Linked DNA regions of Arabidopsis thaliana. The protein of the gene in region 3 interacts with the protein of the main gene of each other region in a pairwise test. Each region holds a gene or a part of one and is shown on either strand. Other genes may lie near its edges.

Evidence for each region.
Region 1: the proteins of PRA7 (region 3) and SWAP70 interact in a two-hybrid assay, tested with the Arabidopsis thaliana proteins (one large-scale study listed by BioGRID).
Region 2: the proteins of PRA7 (region 3) and AT4G25680 interact in a two-hybrid assay, tested with the Arabidopsis thaliana proteins (one large-scale study listed by BioGRID).
Region 4: the proteins of PRA7 (region 3) and AT5G51180 interact in a two-hybrid assay, tested with the Arabidopsis thaliana proteins (one large-scale study listed by BioGRID).

The regions. Positions count from the first base shown.
Region 1 is NC_003071.7:13,142,056-13,147,718, forward strand, and holds SWAP70 (Pleckstrin homology (PH) domain-containing protein), read right to left. Parts: upstream 4,006-5,663; 5' UTR 3,664-4,005; coding exon 3,640-3,663; intron 3,528-3,639; coding exon 3,420-3,527; intron 3,213-3,419; coding exon 3,151-3,212; intron 3,059-3,150; coding exon 2,975-3,058; intron 2,881-2,974; coding exon 2,849-2,880; intron 2,741-2,848; coding exon 2,659-2,740; intron 2,397-2,658; coding exon 2,168-2,396; intron 1,927-2,167; coding exon 1,699-1,926; intron 1,617-1,698; coding exon 1,324-1,616; coding exon of another isoform or gene 1,320-1,323; exon of another isoform or gene 1,244-1,319; coding exon 871-1,243; 3' UTR 610-870; downstream 1-609. Other genes in the region: GSTF10 (glutathione S-transferase PHI 10), read left to right, coding at 1-337.
Region 2 is NC_003075.7:13,086,336-13,090,765, forward strand, and holds AT4G25680 (PPPDE putative thiol peptidase family protein), read left to right. Parts: upstream 1-1,637; 5' UTR 1,638-2,089; coding exon 2,090-2,224; intron 2,225-2,822; coding exon 2,823-3,084; intron 3,085-3,173; coding exon 3,174-3,241; intron 3,242-3,323; coding exon 3,324-3,617; 3' UTR 3,618-3,826; downstream 3,827-4,430. Other genes in the region: AT4G25690 (stress response NST1-like protein), read right to left, coding at 4,086-4,430.
Region 3 is NC_003070.9:20,586,712-20,589,760, reverse strand, and holds PRA7 (PRA1 (Prenylated rab acceptor) family protein), read right to left. Parts: upstream 1,365-3,049; 5' UTR 1,312-1,364; coding exon 742-1,311; 3' UTR 562-741; downstream 1-561. Other genes in the region: AT1G55200 (kinase with adenine nucleotide alpha hydrolases-like domain-containing protein), read left to right, coding at 110-259, 354-452; PLDEPSILON (phospholipase D alpha 4), read left to right, coding at 2,132-2,224, 2,313-3,049.
Region 4 is NC_003076.8:20,795,005-20,802,120, forward strand, and holds AT5G51180 (alpha/beta-Hydrolases superfamily protein), read left to right. Parts: upstream 1-1,945; 5' UTR 1,946-2,355; coding exon 2,356-2,492; intron 2,493-2,600; coding exon 2,601-2,668; intron 2,669-2,914; coding exon 2,915-2,985; intron 2,986-3,065; coding exon 3,066-3,308; intron 3,309-3,648; coding exon 3,649-3,812; intron 3,813-3,903; coding exon 3,904-3,959; intron 3,960-4,044; coding exon 4,045-4,097; intron 4,098-4,186; coding exon 4,187-4,298; intron 4,299-4,534; coding exon 4,535-4,632; intron 4,633-4,853; coding exon 4,854-4,925; 3' UTR 4,926-5,703; coding exon of another isoform or gene 5,704-6,369; 3' UTR 6,370-6,475; downstream 6,476-7,116. Other genes in the region: AT5G51170 (U6 snRNA phosphodiesterase-like protein), read right to left, coding at 1-73, 170-326; AT5G51190 (Integrase-type DNA-binding superfamily protein), read right to left, coding at 5,704-6,369.

The DNA.
Region 1 (5,663 bases), on a different chromosome or scaffold from region 3:
AAGTTACCATCCACCACTATTGGCTTTAACGCTCAACATTGTCTTTGCACCACTTATGGGTTTCCCTGCTGATGAGAAAGTTATTAAGGAGAGTGAAGAGAAGCTTGCAGAAGTGCTTGATGTCTATGAAGCTCAGCTTTCTAAGAACGAATACTTGGCTGGTGATTTTGTGAGTCTAGCTGATTTGGCTCACCTTCCTTTCACCGAGTATCTTGTTGGTCCTATTGGGAAGGCTCATTTGATCAAAGATAGGAAGCATGTTAGCGCTTGGTGGGATAAGATTAGTAGCCGTGCTGCGTGGAAGGAGGTTTCCGCTAAGTACTCACTACCTGTTTAAACAAGGAGATGTTGACTTGGGGGGTTTGTGTGAGCTTTGTGTTCTTTGAGGGAGTTCGTTTTCGGGTCGATTGTCTTGTTGTTTCAATAAGAAACGGAACTCTGTCTCATTTGTTGTCTCTGGTTTCTTGTATTCTGTAACTTTTCAAGCTTTTCAATAAGAGTTTAAAATCAGAGTGACTCAACCCATGTATATTCCTCTATTCAGTGTAGGTCTTTGATAAAACTGGTACTAACATCACAACCATCGTGGTTTGTTGAAGGATTGCATTTATATGAAAACTGGTTTATATGAATCCAAAAACATAAGTCAAAGTTTAACACATATCTCTCTGTTCTTCATGTTGTAATAAAAGGGAAAAAGAATCATTCCCTAGTCAGACAAATTCAAGAGCGGCAGATACATAACAACTCTTGAATGTACAAGAAAACTAAAAAGACAAATTCTTTTTGTTGTTAGAAGAATCAACTCTCCAAACATTACCAGACCATCAAAGAGTATATTAAAATGTACGAAGATCTACCAATCTTTATTCAAGGCTGGTGATGAAATGATTCGGAAGGCGGATCATTGCGTGGAACGTTAGGTTCAGGAGACACTACCGGGATATCCAAGCTGTTTCTTCTGTCCCGTTCAGTCTCTGCAGATATTTCTCTTACATCAGAAACTCTTGCCTCTGTTGCCTGAATATCATTCCATTCGTTTTCTCCCACCGGAGGCTGAGCGTTTACTACCTGCTCTTCACTCATATGGACTACATTCTCTCCCGGTATAGAGGCTGTTCTTGAAATGCTCAGACATGCTTTATCCACATTCTTTTCTGTTTCCTTTGTCATTGGAAGAGAAGCTTCGCCGTTAGTAGACTCAGTCTTCTCCTCACACACTTGCTTTGTCTCTAGTTGCTGCCTGTTTATTCAAAAATAAAGAGATTTATGACCCTTCAAAAGTCATGAGTTTCCCTGGGAGATAGATTCAGATAGGCTCACCTTTGAAGCTGAGTTTGTAACATATTCACATATGCTAAAAGCTCTTGCTTCTCTGTCCAAGCAGTTGCTTCTCTCTGAGAAGCCTCTTTTGATTTTGCTTCACCGCTTGCTTCTGCAACCCTCACTTTCTCTTCGGCCCTCACAACAGCTCCTTCAAGTATGACAACACGCTCTCTGGCTTTCCCAAGCTCAGACCGCCACATATGTGCCTCTTGGAGAGCAGCGTCTCTTTCCTTAACCAATTGATCTTTTTCCTTACTCAAAGTAAAGGTCTTCTCTTCCAATTCCTTGAGCTACATAGGAGATAAAGATCAAATAAACAACAAAACATACACAAGGATGCAAAAGTATCTATATATGACATGGCCTCATTACCTTTAATTTTGTGGCTTCTTGCTGTCTCTGTGAGTCTGTAGTCAAGCGCTCAAATTCCACACAAACGATTTTCCTTTGTTCATCCATTGTATGAGCAGCAGATGCTGCAGCTACAGCTGCTTCAGCAGTCTCAGATAGCTTATCTGCTATTTCCTTTATCATTGAGTCACGAGAACGAAGTTCCCTGGCTAAATTATGTAATTCTTCATCTTTGACACGCAGAGTTTCCTGTAAGATGTAAGTGGCTCAATAAGGTTAACCTGGACATTAGAATGAAGATGGACGAATAAGATTTATGCTAATTCTGTTAATTTTCATCCTTGACAAGCAGAGTTTCCTGTAAGGTGTCCCTATATGCTTTCATCGTTCATCTTGACATTTCAGAATCTCAACAGCCAAAGGATGTCAATATGCTATTCACAAAAGTTTCCCAAATTCGAAGAGAAAGAGAGATGCAAAGATACCACACCTTCATTATTGTCAAATCATCTAGTGGTCCATCAATCGGTTTATTTGGCGTTATTTTCAATGCATTCCTCAAAGAGATCTGCATTGCTGCTTGAATTTCTCTGGAACATTCCAATGCTGTTGAATTGGCAGCGGCAACAACGGTTGCAACGGTACCAAGTGTTGCAGAACCACTTCCACTTAGAGATTCGACAGCCTCCTTATGGGCCTTTAGAACTAGCTGTGTCGCACTGGAACGAACAAAGAAAGATAAGGTTTATCAGATTGGCTTTTGAGGGGCATTTAGAAGGTATTACATTTTCAGTAAGAAACGTAAAAAGAGAGAGAAAGATGATTCTTTCAACATGGTCGACGACGAAACCATTAAATCAACACAACTATGAATTATTTAAGATAGATGAAATAAGCGGGGTGGCTTCTCTAGAGAATGGTAAGTAAATAAAAAGGACAGAAAGAGAAGCAAACAAAAAGATGAAGATCCAGATGACTTACTGTAAGGTTGTGACCCAAGCTTTAGCTGCACCAGGAGTCTCTGCACACAAAAAGTAATCTTTCTTCTGTGGGGTACCAATATCTTATATCAAGTTGAAGAAAATTCAACTCTAGATTCCAATCAACTATCTCCTTATAGACAAAAGAAACAATTATAAATATGCCAACATTTTACTAAAACCAAGGATACAAATACAGCAACCATTATATTTTGGAAGCCCCCTGAAACACAAAAGAAACAAAGTCAATGATACAAACAGACACCAAATAATGATGATTATACAGAGCAACAAAAAAAAGAATGTAGCATCCATACTGGAAGTTGACAGGAGAGATGGAGATTGTGCTATTTTCGTCAAACAAAATTGTTCCCTTGATAGTTGGCTCATTTCGCCTCGTCCTGAGTCATGGAAATACATCAGAAATGAATAAAACCATGATGAAGTGGTCTACACACAAATGCAGCTACATAAGCAAATTGATATAACTCACTTATACTCCATTTTCCCTGTTGTTGGATCAAGTATCACCCATCGTTCGTTCCATTTTCTCAGCTATTCATACATAAACACAAACAAAAGATATTATCATTGTGAACCTTTGAATAAGCCAAGACATTTCAGGCCAAAAGACTTGTTTAAGCTATAGAAATCTAATAGTGAGCTATCAGAGAGTCTTCTTAGTTTGAGCTAACTAAGAAATCCCAATCAATAAAGCAAAAACTGGTTTTGATCATTTTCACTTAAAAAAATTGGACTTACAGTTTCAGATCGCTTGAAAAGAGGTCCTTGTAGCAAGTTCCGACCAGAGCCAGATGCCAATTGTCGCTTGATCTTATCCAAGCTGTTCTCAGTAGCATCAACAATTCTCTGCGCATTTTCAGAAATTGACAAAATGGGTCAATTTAAGAGTGTGAATGAGAAAAGCAGCCAAAAGAAAGAGACTAAATTGTAGCACACAGAGATCAAGAGAGAAAAAGACCGGAGAAGCGCCGTTGGAAGCCATGTTAATTGGGATCGACGAGATCGGAAAGCTCTTGATCGATTAGAAGTGAATTGTTGCTGATCGATGGATCGAGAGAAGAAGGGTTTTAAGAGGTTTTCTTTGGTATAGCTATGAGTATAAGCTGAAGAAGACGAGGTTACAGAAGAAGAAGAAGAAGAAGAAGGAATTGGAGAAAAATGCTGTTAGGTTTGGTTTCGCGGAATTGCAGTTGAATCTGTCTTCACTCTTTCAACGCGATCAAATCAACTTAACCGGTCGGTACGATACTGGATCAGCTTACTCGTCAAATGAACCGGTTCTTGAGTTTCTCACTTTTTGTTTGTTCACTTCATTTTTATGGTTTTTGATCTGACGGTGGAGGTGTCATCACATGATTCTTTTGTTTTGTTTTTGGTTATGAGGATGATTAAGTAGATCTGTAGAAGGTAGGCTTTGTTAAGGGAGAAGCTTTACATAAACGATGGGCTAAGGAACATCAATGGGCCGGGCTGTAACAAGCCAATCGTTTAGGAGAGAGCAGAGTTCTTACTTTGCCCAACTAATCTCAAATGTGTGCAAGATTGTGAAATATTGCGTACTAGCTTCGACGCTTGGTAGTGGTGACTTAGACACTTAGTTCACAGGGACTTCAAACATAGATGCGTTAGACACAGCTTTACACTTTCTCTTAATCTTCAAGATTTTCAATGTACTACAACTTCCCTAATGGTCGTAATGAAACATGATATAAGTACATAACATAATATTCAATAATATATGAGATTTGAGTAATCATATGTGATATGATGATACTCTTTCCTTAATAGCTAGGCGCTGATAACTACATAGGAGGAGGAAACACAACAACTTGTTGGGGATACAGAAATGGATTGAAAAGCATCAAAGCAAAAGAGTAGTAGACATGTAAGCCAAGACAATATTCAATTTTGGGGTTAACTGAAGTGGGAAAGCTGCAAAACGTGAAGTGGTCCTCTTGCTTTATTCTACGTATGTAGATTCCTTTTGTATGAATTTTCTCATTTGTTTTTCACTTCTATGGCATTCTCATCAACCCAACCATGCATATATTTCCTAAATGAAACGTCTAAGAAGCTATCAAAATCCATATTTTTTTGGCTCCTTTATATTCAATCTCCAAAATAAGAAGAAACTTCTACTATATAATATACTACAGAATTTGGACACCTTTTGACATTTATAAGTTTGACCATTTATCTAAAATTTGGTATGTTCTTATGATTAGTGTTTGAAAATAAGAAAATATATATCCATGTGATGTGGTCATTCATGTATACCTTCCATAGTGAAATCATGATGTTTGTTGACAGTAACATATTGTTAGTGGTCTATGAGCTAGTGCAACCTGCCATGACTCACTTTCCCTTGCAAAATCTGACATTCTTCCACAAAACATAAAAGTCCATTAAAATTCTACTTTTGGATGAATCTGACCTTAAGGAATTTTCAGTTTCAGTTTCTTCTTTTTTTTTTCATAGAAAACCAAAAGTGCTGTAGAGTCGCAGAGATAGTGACATCCACTTGAATATTCTTCTGTTTTTTCTTACATTCATTAATTAAATTCAATACTCAAATTATATATATATAGTCCTTTTTAGATATAAAACATCATTATTAACATCTAATTAAGATTGACAAAAATGAAGTTCGTTATATCAAATCGATTGCCCATTCCTCCACTTGCTTTTCTTCATTTAAATTCAGAGATACTAGTAAAATAAACCATCAACCTCCATGCAAAACCATATTATATAACAAAGTTGCGAGCTTAACTTTTTTTTTTTTTCTTTTTATCACATTTCTTTACACTCTAAAAGCAAATTCTAAAACTTTTCTTTTCTTTTCTCTTCTTCTATCTATAGCTAAGAAACTAGTGGATCAAGTATTCAAGTTCCATATATACCGTCATCCAATTCTTTACAAAGAGCTAGATACACACAAACTTTAACAGTTATACTTATGAAATGAACTCATGAATTGAT
Region 2 (4,430 bases), on a different chromosome or scaffold from region 3:
AAAGCTAACAGTTGTAGATAGACCACCAACCAAGCAGACACAATTGTTCTAATGACCTCGAAAGACACCAAAAGTCCTAAAGAAGTCAAACAAAATCAGCCACCAATTAGATTGAAGATAGTCAACAACAGCCAAAGAGTAAAACCTAATGATTACTCAAACCCTAATTTCCCAGAGTAGGAGCAAAGTTGAAGAATACAAAGGGTATCCATCCATCCACAGAAAGAGTTAATTCCACGGCAAATTTCAGGATCTCTCTTAATCCTCAGCTAATAACTCAATTAAGACTAATGGATACAAATTACACAAATACAGACACCAGATCTGCCGCAGAAACTAATTTTCAGATCAAAATTAACCTCAATTCAACAAGAACAATAAGAGAAACAATCGGATTTAATCCATTATGTAGGTCTAAGATCCATGAATAAGCATAAGATCCGAGGAAGCTAATCAAAAAGACTTTTAACGAAATAAGTCAATTATATTGAAAAGATAAAGGGAAATTGAAGATAAACGGAGAAACAAAGATGATGATGAAATTTAGATCCAAACCTCGGCAATATGGCATAGAAGCAGCTGCCTTCAAAGAACTCCTTTAAATTAATCGGATAATACAGAGAGATAAACAAAAACGCAGAAGTAAAGTTGCTGTTTTGATGCAGAGAGAAAGAGAGAGGAATTTCGAGAGATAAAAAAGAAGAGCAGACGAAGAAGACGAGAGAGAGAGGATAATAGAAGGAATTATAACTAGTACAGAGAAAGAAACGCAGCGCGACTTCTAATGAAATGGGGACACGTGTCGAATGATGTCTGACTTTTTTTTCAAGTGTAAGTTTTCAATTGGGACTTTGGAGACTTGGCCGGTGCGACTTCGTCTACTCCCAGTATTTTGTGGGTCCTAATGAGGGCTATTAGCAGCCGTTAGATCCCCCGATAACTGTTTTGAGATGTTTCCGGTTCCAACTTTTTTTTTTGTCGACTTCCGGTTCCAACTTTGCAATATTTATCATGTAAGAAAGAAAATTTGAGCCTTTCACGAATATGTACAAGTGTCATGTTACCTTACATTACAATAAAATATAAGAGCTTAATTTGCATTCAAAGTTTATCAACTTGACTAAGCTTTGTTTGTGCTTTGAGCATCCCATTCAAGATTCATCCACCAAAATGAGACTTTGAATACACTTTTGATATAACAAAAAACTTGGTCGAATTTCTTTGGTCCTAATTTATTTCCTGAATCCCATCTGTTGTACTGGGCCTAGGCCCAATTGGCCCAATATGTATGTACCATAAAAAAGAAGTCATTAAGTTTTTATGATTGACTTTTTTACATAGAAGCAAAATTATAAATTTGGTGTATGAATGGATGGACTAATTCGAGACGAATCAGATGGCTAACGAAAACCAGACTTGTGTCCGTTTTGCATTTTCGAAAATTATCGGAAGAATCGGTCAATTGATTACCCTCTTTTTTTTTTGTTTACCCCATTTTTTAATAGTCATGAATCATCTTCCTTGGTTGTGTCAGATTACTTAAGTCATTATTTTGTTATAGAGATGCTTTACTAGTATTTTTGATTTGTTTTGGTAAGGACACTTGTCTAGCTAAAGAAATGTTAGTTAAATGAAAGAAAAAAGGTTCAGTAGTTGACCCGTTTAATCAACTGCGAACAACGTTCATACTAATATAATTTGTTACCATAAATTCATAATCTAAACGCGTGCTTAAGTTGTAAACAAAAGGAATTAACAAGGGACACGTAAAGTAGCAATTCCGCAGGAAAAGCGAGGGTAAAATTGTCATTTCAGTGGATCCCCACCACCACCACCACCGCCGCACCAGTTTCTTCTTCATCTCCTACGTCTGAAATTGAGAAATCGGAAGAAGAAAGATAAGTCTAATCTTGTGCCTTTAGATTTCTTTTCGGGGAGATCTAGTAGTTGTTGGATTCGTTAAACGGAGAAGTGGATTTGGTACGAGTCTTTAGGTTTCCTTCTTCACCAAAAGCTCTATATAGAGAGAATCTGCGAGCTCTTTTTGGTAGGAAATTAGGGTTCGTGTTGCTTGGTAAATATAGAATCAATGACGGAGGTTGTTCTGCATATATACGATGTGACGAACAGTGGATCGGAGAAGACTAACAACACCATTGTTCAGATCAATAGGTTCTTCAAAGACGGGATCGGTCTTGGCGGTATATTCCACAGCGCTATTCAGGTACTACTCTTCGTCTATATTCTATGAATCTACATTTATGTACAATTATCGATGATGTCTAAGCTTGGTTTTGGTCTACTTTATGTAGATTTGGTTTTTGTTTCTGTGTATGTATGTGGAAATTAAGAAGTTGACGGCATGATACTTTTCTTTTGATATGTGAGGCTTTAGTTTAATGGTTTATGGTCCTAAAGGTCTGGAGCTGAAGTCTCTCTTTTGCTCAGGATCTTGTGTTTCCTAGTACTTTTGGTAACTTTCCATATGATAATGATTGCGATATATTGACCAAGTGCTCTCTGGAGACTTGTTAAATCCAATGATGGCTTACGTTTACTTCTGTGATCTTTGACCTGGGCAAATATAATTGCATATACCACTTTCCCATTTGAGTCGTGACAATTTGGTGTATTCCAACAAAACTACCAGAATTTAGGTTTTCAAGTTAGTGCTAATCATTCTATGTTCTTAGGTCTGTATATCTATGCAATATCATTTGATTATTCTTGTTCATGGTTTTGTTATTTTTTTGTGTCTTGTAGATGACTATTGATTCGCAGGGAAGAGTGATTGAATAGAATATTTTATGACCTTTGTGCAGGTATATGGAAACGATGAATGGTCTTACGGGTATTGTGAACTAGGAACTGGTGTATTCAGCTGCCCGAGTGGAAAGAATCCAATGTACACATACCGTGAGAAAATCGTCCTTGGCAAAACAGATTGCACAATCTTCATGGTGAATCAGATGTTGCGTGAACTCAGCAGGGAATGGCCTGGACACACTTATGATTTGTTGTCAAAAAATTGCAATCACTTCTGCGATGTACTCTGTGACCGGCTTGGTGTGCCAAAGATCCCAGGTAAAGCCATTTTTTGGGAATCTGGTGTGTGTGTGTGTGTGTTTTGTCTTCAAGGCTTATGTGACGGCTTGGGTTCTGTCTCTTAACAGGTTGGGTTAATCGCTTTGCTAATGCTGGGGACACAGCCTTGGAAGTGGCAGGAAACACAGCAATGCGGGTGGGTTCCCTTTTGTTTAGCTTCTCTACAACGTAAATGCAACATTATGGGTGTTCAAAACTTGTAAATTGGGATTTTGCAGATGAAGCAAGCCAAAACTGAACTTGTGTCAGCTAGTAAAGTGGCTTATCGCTTCCTCTCGAATGTTACTTCGAACGTAACCAATGGCTCCAATGGCTCTCCACAACGACCGGGAACTCTCAACAATTCAGACAGCGGGAACTTGAGATTGCAAGGTAGTTGGCTCAAAGGCTTACTTAACACAGCCAAACCCTCCACTAGTACAGAGATAGGGAACAAAGATGAAGATGCAAATCATGCAGTCACCAATCAGAAGAAACAAAGCCGTGACTCTGATGTTCTACTGTTTCAGTAGCAACCGTACCGATCCACCACAATGCATTCGGTTAGCTGTATATCCACCGGTCTAAGAGTCACGCACTATTCTCCTCGTCTGTACCCATTACTCTGTATCAACGTTGGAACCTGTCATTTTTTCTTGAGTTTTTAGCTCACGTGTGCTTTTGTTAAGATCATTCTCGCTTGTTACTGTCAAATCTTAACATCAAAAGGTTTATTAGTCTCAATACACTAGAAATTGTGACTGAATTTGGATAATCACGTGATTCAAGAGGTACTCTGTAATCTGTATAAAACTTAGAACGTATTTGTGAATGTTACAAAGAGAATTCAGAAAACATCTTTTCAGCTAGTCTAACATCAAAAGATAAACAACGAGGAGGAATTTTCACACCAAAAGGGGTTCTAGAATAAAGAAAAAAACTGCAACTCTACTCATAGCAAACACTTGTTTCTGCAGCCAAGTTTGGCACGATGGCTTTTGTCATCCCCCGAACATCGTCTCGAAGACATAAGCGTTCCTATCAGCGTCCTCAGATATCTGTAGTGACGAAACAGCCTGAGCAGCAATCAAATCTGCAGATATTACCATGTTGTTATCCCAGACATCCTTCATGAATGGCTTATATGACACTGACCAGTTACTATCTCCTAGTCCATAACCATTTGACACAAACCCAATCCCTTGAACCGCATAGCTAGCACAACTTTGGCGAGGAACATAGTTGGTTCTTTCATCTCTAAACAGATCCATTCCGAAACCCGTTTCTTCGCCAAACTTGACTCGAGATGAATCATCAGAATCTTCGCCCAGTAGGACGTGCAGAGC
Region 3 (3,049 bases):
TTTCTTCTTTTTAAGGTTTCTTAGCTCATTTTCAGTCTCTTCTTGTAAATGAAATCTAAAAGTTTCTTTCTTGAAGCTCATTTTGTTATTTTATTTTCTTTGTGAGCAGGCAAGATCTTTATTAGAAGAGTATGCGGTTGAGGAATTAGTTGATCCGAGGCTCGAAAAGCGATATTCAGAAACACAAGTCATTTGCATGATTCATACAGCTTCATTGTGTATACGTAGAGATCCACATTTGCGTCCTCGCATGTCTCAGGTAAAGAAAAGATTCACCATTCTTGAAACATGTTCATTTCTTTAAGTCAATAAAACTCTCTCAAGTGTGTCTGCTCTTTTGCTTGTTGTTGAAGGTGTTGCGTTTATTGGAAGGAGATATGTTAATGAATGAAATCTCAGGGAGGTTTAATGGAAGACTATCCACTGAGAAAGGTCTCAGAGATCATAACTAAAAGCTCAACTAGCCAATCTGATCACTTTCTTTTGGTATAGTGCGTAGGATCAATAGAAGAATTTTGTAAAATCAAAGTCCTCTTAATTGACAATTATGGTTTTTTAGTAGCTTTATCCAAAGTGATTAGTGTTTGTAGTGCTAATCATGTAATAACGTAATTAACCAACAAAACATACTCAAAAATTGTACTGTTGTCAACAAATTGAACAAAGTAGAAGAACATGTCAAGTTTTCTCAAATCGCACCAAACTCAGTAACATACAAAAAAAAAAAACAAATTTTTGGATTTACGACGAAGGGTATGACATCAGCCCTGAAGCTTCAGTAACCGCCGCAGCTTCTTCATCAAGAAACAAATTATCACTTCTTCTAACCGCCGCATGAATCAGAACCAACACGGCGGCGGTTAACAAAGATCCCAGAATATTCGAAGTAGCGTGAGTCAACAAAAGCATCACAACCGTCAAAACCGATAAACCAATAAGAACCGTCCGATCATCAATCTGATAACCAAAAACAACAAGAGGCTCGTCACGGAGGAAATAGAGAAAGATCCAGAAGACGACCAAGATTGATAACACGATCAACGAGGTTGGGTGATATAGAAGGCTTAGGAAGAGGATGAAGAGAACTCCGATGGCGTAATTAGCTCTGAAATAGCCGAGATTCGTTTTGATCCTCGAGATCGCGTCGAAGAAACCGTGAGGGAGAGTCATTGATTCGAAATCGAACATTGATTTCCATGGGCGGCGCGTAGCTAGACCGGATTTTATACGGTGTTTGGCGCGTGAGATGTATTCGAGATCTATCGCCGGTGATGGATGAGACGACGTCGGAATCGCCCCGTAGTTCGTCATTTTTGGAGAAGAGAGACACGAAGCTTTTTTTTTTGTTGGTTGTAATAATTTATAAATTGCTCAGTGTCCCTATGGATTAGGTGATGGTGCTAATGTAAATGTCACATATGGATAAAAGTTGTTACATGCCCAATAAATACATAAATGCTTTATATTGTAATAATTTTTTATTTGTTTTGCAACTGTACATTTATGGTAACAATATTGGTATTATATGTGTTTAACAGTCAGCATCATAGAGACATATTCTTAGGAAAATGTACAGCATATTATATTCTCTGTCATTTTCAAAACATAAATCTGATTAATTACTTGTAAACAGCATAATTTTATTCATTAGAAGGATTAATTTTTTTTTCCGGCAGAATAAAAATTTCATATTATTAGTTCACCAAAGAAACTGCGACCGAGTGGTTTCTTTGGCAGCGCTTTGTTGCTGCACGTGGCTTATCCCCACAAATATTTACAAACTCCACCAGATATTTTCATGCTTTCACATTTTAGTCCCAACCTTTTGTTTGAATACCATCTAACACTTTGCTTTTTAAAATTCCTATTTTTAAAAACCGAAGTCGAATGCTTGATTTGTATTCAAAGACACTTCACCTTCGATTTTGTCATCTATATGGTTGAATGTTTTCTTTAAGATTGTCCATGGAGAATCCTACAAGTTTCACCAAAAACATTAACAAATACATATACATATATGGATGGACATAACCTTGTGCATTCTGTAATTGACCAGCTTCAAACACATACTTGACAATTCACAGAAAATTATCTCTCATTCTCTTAAAGATACATTTTGAATAAAGAGAAGATGGAGCTTGAAGAACAGAAGAAGTACTTTCATGGAACACTAGAGATTACAATCTTCGATGCAACACCTTTTTCTCCTCCATTTCCTTTCAATGTAAGTCTATATCATATACTGAATTAGTGACTCTGATGATGTTATCATTGTGTTCATTTTCATGAGCTTTTGTTATCTTTGTTCACAGTGTATATGTACAAAGCCAAAAGCAGCTTACGTGACCATCAAGATAAACAAGAAGAAAGTTGCTAAAACAAGCTCAGAATACGACCGTATTTGGAATCAGACTTTTCAGATCCTCTGCGCTCACCCGGTTACTGACACGACTATCACCATCACGCTCAAGACTCGATGTTCTGTTCTCGGAAGATTCCGAATCTCTGCAGAACAGATCCTGACATCTAATTCAGCAGTTATCAACGGGTTCTTCCCTCTGATTGCAGACAATGGGTCAACGAAACGTAACTTGAAGCTTAAGTGTTTGATGTGGTTCAGACCGGCTTATCTTGAACCGGGATGGTGCAGAGCGCTTGAAGAAGCGTCTTTTCAAGGTATTAGGAACGCAAGCTTCCCTCAAAGATCGAACTGCAGAGTCGTACTGTATCAAGATGCACACCACAAGGCCACATTTGATCCAAGGGTTGATGATGTTCCTTTTAATGCAAGGAATCTATGGGAAGATGTTTACAAAGCGATCGAAAGTGCTAGGCACTTGGTTTACATTGCAGGATGGGCACTAAACCCTAATCTTGTTCTTGTACGCGACAACGAAACTGAGATTCCACATGCGGTTGGAGTAACGGTTGGCGAGCTTCTGAAACGGAAATCAGAGGAAGGTGTAGCGGTGAGAGTAATGTTGTGGAACGACGAGACGTCTTTACCAATGATCAAGAACAAAGGTGTAATGAGAACAAACGTCGAAAG
Region 4 (7,116 bases), on a different chromosome or scaffold from region 3:
GCGTAATTTCCATCGACATGAGGAAAGTTTCTTACACGAACTCCAGGCTCTGTTGAGAAGAAATCCAGTGAACCTTCAAGTTCAGACGAAATAAAAAATAAGTGATGAGTGAAATCTCTAAGAATTTGATTGAGGAACAATCACAGAGACAATTGATGAGCATCTTCACCTGTGGATACAATGGAATCGAGAAGCGCAAGCGGTGGAGGAGGCAAGGAAATCGAATCTTTCTCTCCAGAATTTGCAGTAACGGGACTCGCCGGAGAAAGATCATCGGTATCGGAATCCGATGAAGAGTCGCCGTAGGACGCTCTCAATGCTTCCATTGCCCGTAAATTAATTAAAACAGAAAAACCAAACAGAGAAACTATTTAAACCAGATTTCATTTTCAAGCATAAACCAGATTAAACCAAAATGATTCTAATATAACCAAATTAAAGCGAACCGAATATAAACCGAACCATCCGCGAAGACAAAGCAGCACAATTCGGAAACCATTAACGGGCCGAGAATGGGCCTTCACCGAAGATCAAAGCAAAACCCTAATTACGTTCCCTATAAATTAGACACCAATCGCCGGAGGTTTCATCATTATCAGTATTCAATAGCATCTAGGGTTCTCTTCTTCTGTTATTCAATCGTCGTTTTTATGGGTCTTTTTGGATGATTGATAGTTTTTAAGTTTCTTTATAATTCTCTAATCGAGAGAGGGAGATTGGCAGTGATGACTCGGAAATTTCAAGCTCAACAGACCGGAATTAGGCGTTTCTTCCAATTTATTGGTTGAGTCGTTTCTGTGTCGATAACCCCGCTGATCTGAGCCTTCCTCTCTTTTCATTTGATTCTGATTTGTTTGCGTTTTCGAATTTGAAATTCTCTGGTAATCGATTTATACGTTTTTATCGATTTTGAAATCGGTGTTTGCGCTTTTTTAATGATGATGGGGATTTTGGAGATTACGATGAGGATGTACAGCTCCCTCTTCTGATTAAGCTGAAGAGAATTGCTGGCAGAATCGAACCTAAATCACTAGCCACTACTGAGTTATCCCCTTAATCCCCATAAATAGTTTATAAGAGTTTGTTTTTTGGTTTTCTATTCAGTAAAAACGAATTTAGATGGTAGATAATGATGAAGCAAAATTAATCTAATCCAACACTTGATCTGAGAGATACTATGTGCATCTCCAAGTGAAGTTACAACTGTTAGCTTCTGAATCTAACTTTGTTCAATTGTGATTTGCTTCAGTTTAATGACAAACTACGAGTAAAGTTTAATCGGAAGAATTGACTAATACATTCAAAATAGTTGTCTGATTAAATGTCTATTGAACACGACACAAAATAGTTATCTATTTGTTCGAATATGATTAGGACATCCATATTCGAACAAATAGATAATTTAGTCTGCCAATTCTGAAAACATTGTTTTGACACTGAGAATATCAAATTAATGTATGAAATTATCTATTTTATCTAGTGCCCGTACCTAGTTGAATCCGAAGTAATCGATCCCTGTGTATTGATTTGAAAGCATTTGGTCATAAACATTGGCGTGTTCTTGTTAAAGAGCAGTCGTCAGATATCTTAGAAACTAATGGCAGTTACCAACGATGTTCCAACGAGCACCCAATTTGCCTACAATGACGAAGGCTGGGGACTTAAAATTGATTCGAAAAAACCTGTAAAAAATATATTATACAAAAGTATTGGTCACAAACTTTGTTATCACCGTTAGTGATTCAAAGGTAGTCAGATTGTATGAACTTTTTAGTCTTAATCAAAAATTGGTATAGTTGAAGAAAAAGAAAAATCCAAAGACCGGCAATCCAAAACGTTTAGTTACTATGGTAATTTGTAACTTCCGTATAATTAACAGTTTAATACAGTTCAGTACTTAGCAGAGTTCCGTTGTAACGGAATAACGGGATCCAGTTGATTACGTTTTGAAACCAGTAAAGTCAAAGATATTATTTTGTTGTTAAGAAGAGGAAAAAAGTCAAAGTTATCCTGTTTGTTTGTTTTCCCCAAATTAAGAAAAAAGCAAAGGCGTAGAGGGAGAGAGTTTGTTCTCAGGAAGTCGGTATCTCTATCGAAGCCGACTTCACGTCACGATTACTTACTTCCACGTTACATTTTGTCGTGTTTTCTTCCTTCCGTTTCCTTCTCTGGCAAGTCTGCTTCGTACGTACTCTCTCTTCATTCCCACTTCACACTTTCTACTTTTTACCAAATCCTATCCTCAACTCTAATTCCCACCATTTCTGATCCACGATTTCAAATTGGGTGGTTGGAAGCAGTGTTTGTGCTGTAATTGGATCTGATCTGATCGGATTCGATTGAAATTTGGATCCCATGGAGAAGCACGAGGAGGAAAACGGTCTTTGCAAGGCGGAATCTGTTGATGGTAGCCTTGATGTTTGGAGTTGTCAGAATTCTGATTCTTCTTCCGCTGATCACCTTGTCGTTATGGTCCATGGGATCTTGGGAAGGTAAACAAACTTTGATGGAGTTGAGAATTTTGATTGTTCTGTTTTACTTGATATATTTATGCAATTCGCCAAAATCTCAATAATGAGAATTGTTCTTGAGAACTGCAGTACGGATGATTGGAAGTTTGGAGCTGAGCAGTTCGTCAAAAAGATGCCAGACAAAGTCTTTGTTCACTGTAAGTTGTCTTGCGCTTTGATTAATGATGATTTACAAAGTTCCAAAATTGAAATTAGTTTCCTTTTTCAGAATTAAACTTAGTTAGTGGACCCTTTATCTAATCATTCAGCTATTAATAGGTTCTGTTTTCCATTTCTTGCTACTATTGGGTCTGTGTCACTGGCAATTATCTTTAAATTCTAAGATTCTTATGATGCTAGGTTTATTGCTCCAAGATTCTTATGATCTTACCTTTTGTAAGCAGGTAGTGAAAAGAATGTGTCTGCGCTTACTCTAGATGGTGTGGATGTAATGGGTGAACGTCTAGCAGCTGAGGTAAGGCGTCACATATAGGTCCTCTTTTATTTACATTTGTGGAGTTGGACTCTGTTTGATGTAACGAAAATGCATGTCAGGTTCTTGATATTATTCAGAGAAAACCAAATATCTGTAAAATCTCCTTTGTTGCACATTCTTTGGGAGGGCTTGCAGCAAGATATGCAATTGGGAAATTGTACAAGCCCGCTAATCAGGAAGATGTTAAAGACTCGGTAGCGGACAGTAGTCAAGAGACTCCCAAAGGCACAATATGTGGACTCGAGGCTATGAATTTTATTACTGTAGCTACACCACATTTGGGTTCAATGGGTAATAAACAGGTAACTCTACTTGTGTACATGCGTAGTGCATTGACTTTGCTAAATCGTCTATTAAACTTGTTTGAAACGAATTTTCTTCTACAACTTTCATTGCATAACATGGTTCTGGTGAGTGTTAAAAAAATGAACAAAATTAGGAAACATAACTTGTTTGCTATCTTAATATTTGCTACTAAAAACCTGGCACTCTGTTTACCTAACTTTCCACCAGGGTAATGTATATAAGTTATGACTGACAACTGCTTTCTTGAACTATGCAAATCTGGTTGTATGATTGAATTACCATTTCACTTATGTCTGGATATTATTCTCATTATAACAATTTATTGTTTTCTTCCAGGTTCCGTTTCTCTTTGGTTTTTCTTCCATTGAGAAAGTTGCAGGTCTCATTATCCACTGGATATTTAAAAGAACGGGCCGTCACCTTTTCTTGAAGGATGAAGAAGAGGGAAAACCACCATTGCTTCGACGCATGGTGGAAGATACCGATGATTGTCATTTCATGTGTGCCACTCTATGTCCCATTTGTCACAAGTTAGTTTACCTAACTTTGTCTCGATAATGTCTCACTAGAAAATGTTTTCCTCAATTGCAGATCTGCACTGCGAGCCTTCAAAAGGCGGGTGGCTTATTCAAATGTGGGCCATGATCGTATCCTTTATGTGTGTTACTTGTAGAAATGTCCTTGTTAGCATCAGACATTACATTTTTTTTTTCCTTCACTAGATCTAAATAGACGTTGTTGGCTGGAAGACGGCATCCATTAGACGTGACAGTGAATTGCCTAAGGTATCTGACTCTGACTGGATTACTTGATTTGGTTCAGGATTTTGATATAATAGTTCTCTCTGATAAATGAATAATTTCTTGTTTACCAGTGGGAAGATTCTCTGAATGAGAAGTATCCTCATATTGTTTACGAAGAACTCTGCAAGGCATGTGATATGGAGGACATACCAGAAGGCGAGAATCATTCAGACGACATAGAAGGTTAGCGTGCACTTGTTGCACTGACCGTTTAGGCATTTATCTGTGATTTTGTAGAACTTAATGCTCACTTCTCTTATTTCTATTTCTACTTTCTATGCTTTAGATCTTATTAGCTGGTAAAAGAAGTGTTCAGTACAAATTCATATGTTGATGATCTACCATATGCTGTGCTTCTGCTTTCTTATTCATATGCATCATGATGTATATAATAACGTAGTGCCTCGTCAATTGTGCAGAAGAAATGATCAAAGGCCTCTCCTCTGTCTCATGGGAAAAAGTTGATGTTAGCTTTCACAGTAGCAGGCAGAGGTTTGCTGCCCATAGTGTTATACAGGTCTCTCACTCTCACCTGCCATACCTCATGTGTCTTAAGATATAACATTTGTTTATCCTCACACCTAAGGCTTTTTAATTGCATCCTCTCTTGATAGTTATCTTTCTGTTGTTATATACATTGAACGATAACATATTGTTCATTCATTTTGATAGGATTAATCTCCACATACTTTCTAGTAAAACCATAAAGTCTAATAGTCTGTGTTATGCCGTTTACAGGTTAAAAATGAAGATATGCATATAGAAGGAGCAGATGTCATAGAGCATATCATCGATCATTTCCATGCTTAAATCAGTAAACTTTTCATCACCCAAGAGTTTGGGACACGACATTAAGGACTCAAATTTCTTATAGTAGAGCAACAATTTTCCAGCTGGACGTTTATATGTCACGTAGTTGTTTACACTATAAAATCATCTCATTTTGTCTGTAATTGCACAGGTAGCAAGACGTCAATTATGACCAATGTATTTGATACATGGTATTAGCAAAGCAAATTGTTCAATTCAATTGTATCATGTATTCACAAATATTTTGCAATGGAAGCTTTGTGCCTATATATTTTTTTTACTTGGAAGAATTCCTACCGACTGAGTTTGTGGTGTCATTTGATAATCAACGTCTTAACATTCTCAGGGTGAAGGACTAAAATGCAATCAGTACACTTTCATCTTCAGTATTTCTCTCTGGTTGTTTCCTTTGATTTGGTGACTTGAAATAGTCTACGTAATCTTGCCATGTTGTATGACGTGAACATGTTACAACCTTAGCATCAAGTACATCTGGAAGTCGAAGCTCTGGTGGAGCATTAGTTTTCTCTTCTATTTGTGCGTCTTGAACATTCTGTATCTCTTTAGGCTGGACATTGATAGTGATCTAGCAAAGACAGGTTTGTTGGTTTAAGACCTCCCTAAGTTTTTGTAAGTTTGAGCTCGTTTAAGGAAGGGTAGAAAGAATTGCATTTAAGAAGAATGAATGAATATAGTAAAACATTTTTTTACAATCAGCTAATCTAGAAGCTTTGAAAACAATCCAATGTTGATTTTTTCCAGTTTGACCCTCTGAAGCTTAAGTAACTACGAGTTGAGAGTGTCCAAGAGATGGACAAGGAGATAACAGAGGCACGGAAAATATTCCCATGTCTTTACTGTCTGCTCCGTCCCAAAACCCCTTCCAACTTGATGGCGTTAATGGACAAGCATCAGCCTGAACCTGAGCTTCTTCCCTCTTAACAGCTTTACGGCTGATCAGCTGGCTTTCATCCTCCGTCACCTGTCTCTTCCTCTTTGCTTTTAAAGAAATAGTCTTCTTGTTGTCTCCCAAGTCCTCATGCTTTCCTGCTTCAAGTGGGAAGTTAAGAATAGCTTTGCTTCCTCGTAGTTTAAAAGCTGCCTTGTCATAACCTCTTGCAGCTTCCATGGCTGTGTCAAAAGTGCCTAACCAGACACGAACACCTTTCTTGTTTGGGTCTCTGATCTCAGCCGCATACTTACCCCATGGTCTTCTCCTGACGCCTCTGTAATGCCTTTGATCATTCTCTTGAACCACCGGTGCAGTAGTAGGAACTGCTATAGTGGCAAGAGGTGGTTTGCGTTGGCTTAGAGTTGAGGTGGTGCAGTGGTGGATGGTGGAGGCAAAGGTGTCTAAGGAAGGGAAATCAGTAAGAAGGTGTTGGGTTATGAGATCTAAAGCTGACTGGTCTTGTTCTTGCTGTTGTTGATGTGAAGAAGCCATAGATGATGAATTATGTTGGAGTCTTCTTTGTGGTTTTGATTATGGATTTTGGTTTTTGAGATTGGAGGTTATATATAAAAGTGGGATTGAGAGGTTTCGTAGCTAGCTTCTTGGGTTGGAGAGAGGAAGGATCCTTTTCAATTGTTTTGACTTGTTTAGTTCTATTGTTGCTTTGGAGTGTGGCAAGTGGACTACTCTATCATTTATTATTTTAAGATAATGAAGGATTTGTGGCTATGTCTTTTTCTTGCGAGGGTCCATCATCATAGCTATTGTCTATTTCCAGGCTTCTTCATATCCCAGACACAAATTAAAAATGTTTTTCTGAGAGATATTTGAAAGAAAAATTGACACTTTTTTCTTACTTTTAAGGGTAAAGTTTAGTTATATTTTGGAAAAGGTGGATGCACGAATGTGTATGTGTCCACTTGACTATGTGCCTATGTTAGATGGTATTGCTGCCTTGGATTCTCGTTTGGGCACACTGTGGATTATATGATTTGGCCGCAATATTTGAAACTTATGTTTTTTTTCGTTTAATTGTTTGAAACTTTTATTCAATTTAAGTTACTTCATTTTTGTTTCTTTGTTGTTTATATAGACCAACTTGCCTATTTTGAACAATGAAAGTTTGAATTTCCTGCATGCAAGTTATATAGAACAACTTGCCAAATAAATCAGATTAGAAGATGTTCAATAAATTCATGGTCAAGCTTTGAAAAACTCCGGCCCCCACAAGAGTATAAA